Linked DNA regions of Coturnix japonica. The protein of the gene in region 1 purifies or fractionates together with the protein of each later gene. This does not show direct contact. Links are inferred from orthologs where the notes say so. Each region holds a gene or a part of one and is shown on either strand. Other genes may lie near its edges.

The links.
Region 2: the proteins of ACBD6 (region 1) and NMT1 purify together in Homo sapiens (co-immunoprecipitation; 3 studies listed by BioGRID and IntAct, with this or other methods). This does not show direct contact. The link is inferred for Coturnix japonica from reciprocal best matches to the Homo sapiens genes ACBD6 and NMT1.

Annotation. Positions count from the first base shown.
Region 1 is NC_029523.1:5,796,398-5,800,213, reverse strand, and holds part of ACBD6 (acyl-CoA-binding domain-containing protein 6), read left to right. Parts: intron 1-983; coding exon 984-1,048; intron 1,049-1,675; coding exon 1,676-1,772; intron 1,773-3,816. UniProt on the Homo sapiens protein: Binds long-chain acyl-coenzyme A molecules with a strong preference for unsaturated C18:1-CoA, lower affinity for unsaturated C20:4-CoA, and very weak affinity for saturated C16:0-CoA. Does not bind fatty acids. Plays a role in protein N-myristoylation.
Region 2 is NC_029542.1:815,198-819,553, forward strand, and holds the start of NMT1 (glycylpeptide N-tetradecanoyltransferase 1), read left to right. Parts: upstream 1-1,554; 5' UTR 1,555-1,607; coding exon 1,608-1,735; intron 1,736-4,356.

The DNA.
Region 1 (3,816 bases):
CTGACCTGCTTGCATGTCGAACCAAAGAACTGCCAGGCAGGCACTTTCCTCTCACACAATGTTGTATAAAACAAATGGTACATACCATATCTGAGCACAGGAGAAAACGTTTACAGTACAAATGAGTGGTGATTGATTCACAGAGCTGAGCTGCTGCTCATCCTTTCCCTTGTCCCTCCATGAAACGCATTGCGTTGTTTTACAGGCCAGCTGGGATCCTAATTTGGATGGACTGCTTACTCACAGGCACTCGGATGCACGGAGAATTAATTTCAGTCACAGTCTCTCACGCTTTAAATGAAAACATAGTGTAACTAATAAATATCTCTCAGTGTGGGCACGCTCTCTTTAAAGCATGATTCATGATTCTCTCCTCAGCAAATATCCCCACCCTGCTAAGGTGAGGTTGACTTAAGCACTTCACCTGCCTGAACATTGGGGCATATTTCATTTCTAAACAAGAGGGGTGAAGGCAGTTGGGTTTTGCTTGGCTAACAAAATGTTCTGCCAGCAGCCCCTGCCCTCCTTCAGACCACAGCATCATACAATGGCTTCACCTGGAAGGGACCTCAGAGATCATTGAGCTGCACCCCACAGTGAAAGAAACGGCTTTGTACTTATCACATCAGGATGTCTTCCTATGGAAAGCTGTCTGCAGAAGTCCTGCTGGCACCAAGTCCATTTCACACCAAATAAAAGACTTCTTGTCCATCTGTGTTAGTTTGGGTGTCACGTTGGTTTTGGTGTTTCTGAACAAGAGTTGAGCCACAAAAGCTGTGTACAGGATCACACTCTGTGCTGCAGCAATACCCATCTGCTAACCCTGCCTTGGTGCTGCCACTGTGGCCTCCTTCCATCACACTGATCGTCTCAGGCCTTGGCTTATTGGCAGCTGGTGCTTCCCTTGCATCCAGATGGATGCCTCACAGACCATTCATGAGTTCTATTTGATTTATTCTAACAGAAAGAATTTTCATTTTCAGGTGAAATTTGGGACCTGTAACACTCCAAAGCCAAGCTTCTTCGATTTTGAGGGGAAGCAGAAATGGTAAGAGGAAATCCTTGCAACTCCTAGAGGCTCCTGGTTCTACTCTGTGCTGTGTTACAGACCGCACTGTGAGGATATCAGATCTGAGAGGCTGCCACTGAATGTGCTTTTGTTCCATATAGCATTGTCTGCACAAAAAGCATAGCTTTTTTTCTGCAAGTAGGGCAGAAACTGGTATTGCAGTTACTGGTATTGCAGTTACCAATTACTGGTATTGCAGGCCTGCAATGACAGACAGGATCAAGTCAATTTTCAACCTGAACAGCTTACTCTGCCTCACGCAGATGTGAAAGCCCAGCCTGTCTTTACCTTCTACACCCAGAATTGGCCTGCATACCATGAGAGCATTGTAAAAACAGCCAAGATAGCTGCATATAGGTTGGATCACAAACCACATTCCAACCTACATCTAGACCCCCTGAAAGGTGTTCTCATAGCAAAGTGCTGCACCTGCAAGAGCCATTCATAGCTTCATTGAGAAGCTGACCACTTCAGACTGGGTGGGAGGTGGCTTTACACCCCTTGAAACCATATGGATGGATCTTCTTGCTTTGTTTACTGATGACACCATAAAAACACGCTGTGCTGTCTCAGAGCAGCTCACTGATACATTGCTCTCTGCCCTAGGGAAGCTTGGAAAGCCCTGGGAGACACCACTCCCCATCAAGCTATGCAGGAGTACGTTGCTACAGTGAAAAAACTGGACCCCAGCTGGAACCCACAGGTAGGAAACACTGTTCAGAAAACAAATCAGCACCTGCACCTTCTGAAGCCAACAGTTCAGCTTCATGCAGAACTTAATTGCTGTATGGGAGACTTCATTCTGAGCAAATTAAGCTCTAACTTCATTTTGAAGCTCCCCTTTTGTTAAGGCCGAAGCACAAAAGAACCATCGTTTTCATTTGTAATTATCTTCATCCCAGTGAGCACACGTGCAGGGTTGATTTGGCTATAGCCATCTAATTTATTTTGCTTTTATCGGTTCATGCTGTATTTAGCATGTAAAGATACTTCTTATCCTTTTCTCGTCTTTCCCTTTTCAACTACTATTTAAATGTTGATCAATAGAAAGCAATCTCCATAAGAGTGACGTGAACTGAAGGATCAATTCTGAAAATGTTTCCTTTTTGTTTTGATGCAGCAAATCACCAAATCTGATTATGATGAGGTACTCCAACATAACAAGCGTGTTCTTGAGTCCTGTATGTGTTCGTTAAAGGGAGATTGTACTGTCATTTTAATTAGTCTGCCTTTCGTCTGTTAGGTTTATTACTTGATTGAGTATTTATGGATATCTCCCTGTTTATAGACTGATTTCTATATGATTTTTAAGAGGATTGCTCTTTAGAAAAATACTGCTTTTAACTGGAGTTAGAAGGGAGATGTTTCACTAATAGCAAAATGCTGACAGCATGGTAATTTCTTTGCACTGTAGGAAATTGATTCTCTTTTTTTCTCCCCCTCTTATCCTGCACTCTGGAAGCAGGATCCTGTGTGAGCACCAGCCTATGAATCAAGGACTTGATTCCCTCTTACATTCTGGTGCTGTTCTGGACTCATAAGAGTGATTGCTGCTTCTTGGCCAGCCTGTGTTCCACAGGTCTGATCCTGTTTTTGCAGAGAAGAGGTAATGCTGTTTAGAGACAACTGGGTAGAGCTGGTGTTCATCACAAGTGCTGTGACAGGTTCTGCTTTGAGTATGTTTTTCCCTCCTTGCTTCAGAAAGCTACTCTTTTTTGTAGTTATCCGTTTGGGTTACAAAGCTCTCTGCTATGGAGCTGGAATAACCTGGTGCTCTTCAAATCCTAAGAACTCATCCTACAAGCAAGGAGCTGGCTACAGTGATGTTCTTCCCTTCAAGCGAGGAAGGGATGGTTGTGAGAGCTCTTCTTTCACATAGCCCTGTGCACAAGACTCAGCAGACACCACACAGGGTAATGCTTCTGCACCAGCATTTGCTCTCTGGTGTGTGGTTCCATCTTCCTGTGGTTTTAAATAGTTGATACAGGAGGAAAGAGCAGTTCTAGAGCTTGAACAGAAGCTTCTCTGCTAATAGCAGGGCTAAGGCTGTCTGATCAGTTTTAAGAAATGCCATTTTCACTCTTCAAACACTTGTTGTGGCACTTCAGTACATAAACCTCTCGGTCTTGTAATCAAGCATGTATTTCTTGGCTTTCTGACACCAGTGGTTTTCTTATTCATACAGTCTGTGCCTTCACCACTGTAGCCCTTATTCTTTTCCCCTTACTCCTCACCCTGAGGGAGCTAGAAACCTTTTAAGAGATCTAAGACCTTTCCATGGAAGAAAACTGCTCAGCTGTGAAAAGGCCTAACAGAGGAAGTTAGAAGAACAAAGAATGCAATTTCAGAGTCAGCATTCAAGTACAGGCAGCACTCCTTTCTTCAAGAGAATTCACCTGTCCTCTCTATTGCATTTTCATTTTATCACCATTTTTGTACAGCTGAAATCCCACGAGGAGTCTTCTCATCCTTTGATCTCCCACTATTTCATCCTGCCACGTCCGCATTCAGGAGCCACGAGAGGGAGCTCTGTTCTTCCAAATGATGGAGTTGTACCCATTAGGGGATGGTGGTAGGATAACAGCTATTCCACTCTTCCAATTTCAAATTGGATTTGTAGGAAAGATCTGTGAGAACACCACGAGGTTCTTCATTGCTGTCATTGTCTCCTTTACATGCTCACCTGTTGGGCTCTTTTGAGTTCTTCTTGTGCTCAGTAGATTATAAATAAAATGTTCTCACTGCTT
Region 2 (4,356 bases), on another chromosome or scaffold:
TGATGGGCTGCTCTTGGCCACCCCTCATCCTCCTCCTGGCCAGACCAGGGGAAACTCAGTCTCTCCTGGAGAGGCACCTGCCCCAAACCCTGATGATCTGTGTGATTTCAGTGCCTCCTTTTTGCTAGAAAAAGACACCTGCGTCACGACTCAGTCTTACAAATGGGACCCAGAGAGGGCTGGATGCACTCAGCAGCAGCTGAAGGCAGTTCAGCAGAGGGAGGAAGTGGGAGTTAGCAGGGAGAGGAAAGCCAGCAGCACCTGCCAGCAGCTTCACTCCATGGCTGCTGAGAGCACACAGAGCCCACAGCAGCACCACGTGCGCTCTTCTCTTCCTTTTGGCAAACAGATGGGGTTAACTCCAGCAAGAAGGGGGAATTCAGAGAGGGCAGCAAACAAACATCAGTGATCTCTGAGAGGCTGATGTAAATCCTGAGCTTTGTTGCCAAGTGAGCACCTGACCCCGATGGGGCATTCCCTGCCCCCACCTTCACACTGGGTTAGGATCCAGCCCTGGATGTTCCACGTATTCTACACCCTGTGAGGTGGGCAGGGCTGGTGTGGGGAGAGCAAGGGGGAGAGGAAGGGGGTCAGGCCATCAGTGCACAACTTTCTATGGAGGAAACTTCTGTGCTTAGAAACATAAAACTCTCCTGCCCATGTAAAGCAAATACACTGTTTCTAAGCGCCGTAGCCCCGAGCTGCGGCCCCAGCTGGGACCTGGTCCCAACAAACCTATTTCTGTCCCGTGTTACGTGATCCCAATGGATCTATTCCTGTCCCTCTGTTACGCAGCCCCAACAAACCTTGTTACAGAGCTCAGTGCACTGTCAGCTGCTGGAGTTACCGAGGGGTAAAGCAGCATTAAAGGCTGTTTGCAATGGAGTCTGTCGGCACTTTTAAGGCCACAGAGACCACCCGAGCCCTGTGGTTTAATGATGGAGGGTTTGATTTGCACACAGGGACGCTCGTCCCTCCCTGCAGACGGGCAGGAGCCAAATGAACCAAAGCGACGGATCCAAGAAACAAGAGGAAAGAAAAACCCAGAAGGAACGGGGGGAATCGGGGTGATTTTACCACACACAACATTGAGGCCTAATGGAACAACACACCCCAAGGAGCCGAGGGTTTGAAGGGCAAAGTGCACCAGCTTCAGTCCGAGCCCAGCTCCGGCGATGATCGAAAGTGAAGTTCAAAGGGAAAATAATCACAAATAAACCACGATTTTAACGTGTGGATCCTCAGCCCAACGCGACCCGCGGCCCCTCAGCCGCGCTCAGCCAGGCCCGAAGCGTCGCCCCCTCACGCACTCACCCGCTGCCGGCTTCGCGCACCACGCAGTATAGCACACGCGGATTGGCTGATAGGAACTGAGGGTACTCCTCTCAGCCAATCAGCACAGCCCGCTTTGGAATCTGTCCCACCCCTCGGGTAGAATGAGCCTGGGGTGCGGCAAAGGCTGATGGGAATTGTAGTTCCCGCCCACGCCCGGCCCGGCCCCCTCCCTCCCGCTCGGACTACCGCTCCCGGCATGCCCCGCGGCGCGGCGCCCAGTCACAGCGCGCTTTGTTGTGGGGGTGCGGCAGCCGCCGAGGCCCCGTTTCAAGATGGCGGACGACAGTGAGACAGCAGCGAGGCGGCCGCCGGCGAAGCCTCACCGGCCGTCAGCGGAGGAGAACGAGCACGAGCACTGCAGCGACTGCGAGAACGAAGCGGAGCGCGGCTCCAAGCGCGGGTGAGCGCGGGGCGGGGGGGGACGGCGGGGAGCATTGAGGTGGGCAGCGGCCGGGAAGTCGGCTCCGCTCCGCCCCTCGCGCGCGCTGATTGGCTGATAGATAATATCGCGTGGTGCGATTGCACGAGACGGCTGTCAATCGGCGTGTGGGCGGGCCGTTTGGCGTCCATTCACTCCTATGTGTGTGAGCGTGTGTTGGGGCTGCGGCCGGGACCGGGCCTGGATGGGGGCGGGGGAGAATGGGGGCTTTAAATGAGCTGTCATTGAGCTGCCACCTTCACATCGGGTGTTGGAGGCTATAACGAGCGTATTGAGGAACTCACACCTTCAATCGGGGTGTTGGGGCATTAACCGAGGCTGTAAATGAATTTGACTAACATCACATCGGTGTAGTTGGGGCTATAACGCGAACTGTGCACTGAGCTTCATCACCATATTCACATCGGGGTGTTGGGGCATTAACCGAGCTGTGCATTGAGCTCACACCTTCACATCGGGGTGTTGGGCTATAACGAGCTGTGCATATGAAGATCACACCATTCAATATCGGGGTGTTGGGGCTATACCGAGCTGTATATTGAGCTCACACCTTCACATCGGGGTGTTGGGGCTGTAACCGAGCTGTATATTGAGCTCACACCTTCACATCGGGGTGTTGGGGCTGTAACCGAAGCTGTGCATTGAGAGCTTCACACTTCACACGGGGTTTGGGGCTGATTAAGACGAGCGTGCACTGAGCTCACAGACGCTTCACCAATCGGGGTGTGTTGGGAAGCTATAACGGAGGCTGTGCACTGAGCTTCACACCTTCACATTGTAGGTGTTGGGGCATTAACCGAGCTGTGCACTGAGCTCACACCTTCACATCGGGGTGTTGGGGCATTAACCGAGCTGTGCACTGAGCTCACACCTTCACATCGGGGTGCTGGGGATTAAACCGAGCTTGGCGATTGACTCACACACACTTCACATCGGCGGTGTTGGGGTGTAACCGAGCTGTTATTGAGCTCACACCCTTCAACACCGGGTGTGGGGTGTAAAGGAGCTGTACATTGAGCTCACACCTTCACATGGGTGTTGGGGCTATAACCGAGCTGTGCATTGAGCTCACACCTTCACATCGGGGTGTTGGGGACTATAAGATGCTTGTGCACTGAGCTCAACTTCCACATCGGGGCTCTGGGCTGTAACGAGCTAGTGCACATAGAGCTCACACCTTCACATCAGGGTGTTGGGAGCTAATAAAACGAGCTGTGCATTTGTAGCTCACACCTTCAACATCGGGGTGTTGGGGCTATAACTCGAGCCTGTGAGCACTGGCTCACACCTTCACATCGGGGTGCAATGGGCTTGATAACGCGAGAAGCTGTGCACTGAGCTCACACCTTCACATCGGGTGTTGGGGCTATAACCGAGCTGTGCACTGAGCTCACACCTTCACATCGGGGTGTTGGGGCTGTAACCGAGCTGTGCATTGAGCTCACACCATTCACACTGTTTGTGCCTCCGTGTGGCACATCGCAGCCACAGCAGCACCCACCTGCATCGCACCAAGGGCTTTTCAATCCCCATCTCAGAGATCTTGCATGTCAGGCAATAAATGCCATGCAGGATGTATTGCAGGAGCTGTTTTTTGCACTACAGATGTGCAGATCTGTTCTATTTGCCTCCTGGGTGTGGCATCGTGTCTCACGTCGTGTCTCCTTTGAATGGGTTGAGCCGTGCTTGGGAAGGATCCTCTTTTCCTCTTCTCTTTCATGATGAGGTTTGCAGGATCCAGAGCCAAGCACAGAGCACACATGGCATTCACTCAGTGCTGCTGTGCCTTCTCATTGTGGTTTCCCAGTACAGCTGTTGAGATGAATGGTGGCTGATGGGTGGGGTAGGAAGCGTTGGGTGCTGCTGAGCAAATCAGAGTCATTAAGATTGGAGGAGTCCTCTAAGATCGTCCAGTCCAACCCATCCCCACCATGCCCACTCATGGAGCATTAAGGCTGGAATAGACCTCTAAGATCATCTTGTCACACCTCAACCCATCCCCACCATGCCCACTCATGGAGCATTAAGGCTGGAAAAGACCTCTAAGATCATCCAGTCCAACCCCAGCCCATCCCCACCATGTCCGCTCATGGAATATTAAGGCTGGAAAAGACCTCTAAGATCATCCAGTCCAATCCCATCCCCACCATGTCCCCTCATGGAATGTTAAGGCTGGAATAGACCTCTAAGATCATCTCGTCCAACCCCAGCCCATCCCCACCATGCCTACTCAAGGAACATTAAGGCTGGAATAGAACTCTAAGATCATCCAGTCCAACCCCAACCCCACCGTGCCCCCTCATGGAATGTTAAGGCTGGAATAGACCTCTAAGATCATCCAGTCACACCTCAACCCATCCTGATGTCCTCTAACCATATCCCCCAGTGCCACATCTGTAAGGTGAGCACCGTTCCCAGCACAGAGCTCACAGGGGCAGTGTTTGGAGCAGTGCTCGGGGCTGTCCCTCTGCCAGTGCCCAGCTTGTGCTCACAGCCATCAGCTCTTGGCTCAGGGCTGTAGAACCCAGCACTATCACAGAGCGATAGCAGCACTTCCTTTCCTTTTAAGGACAGGAAAGAGG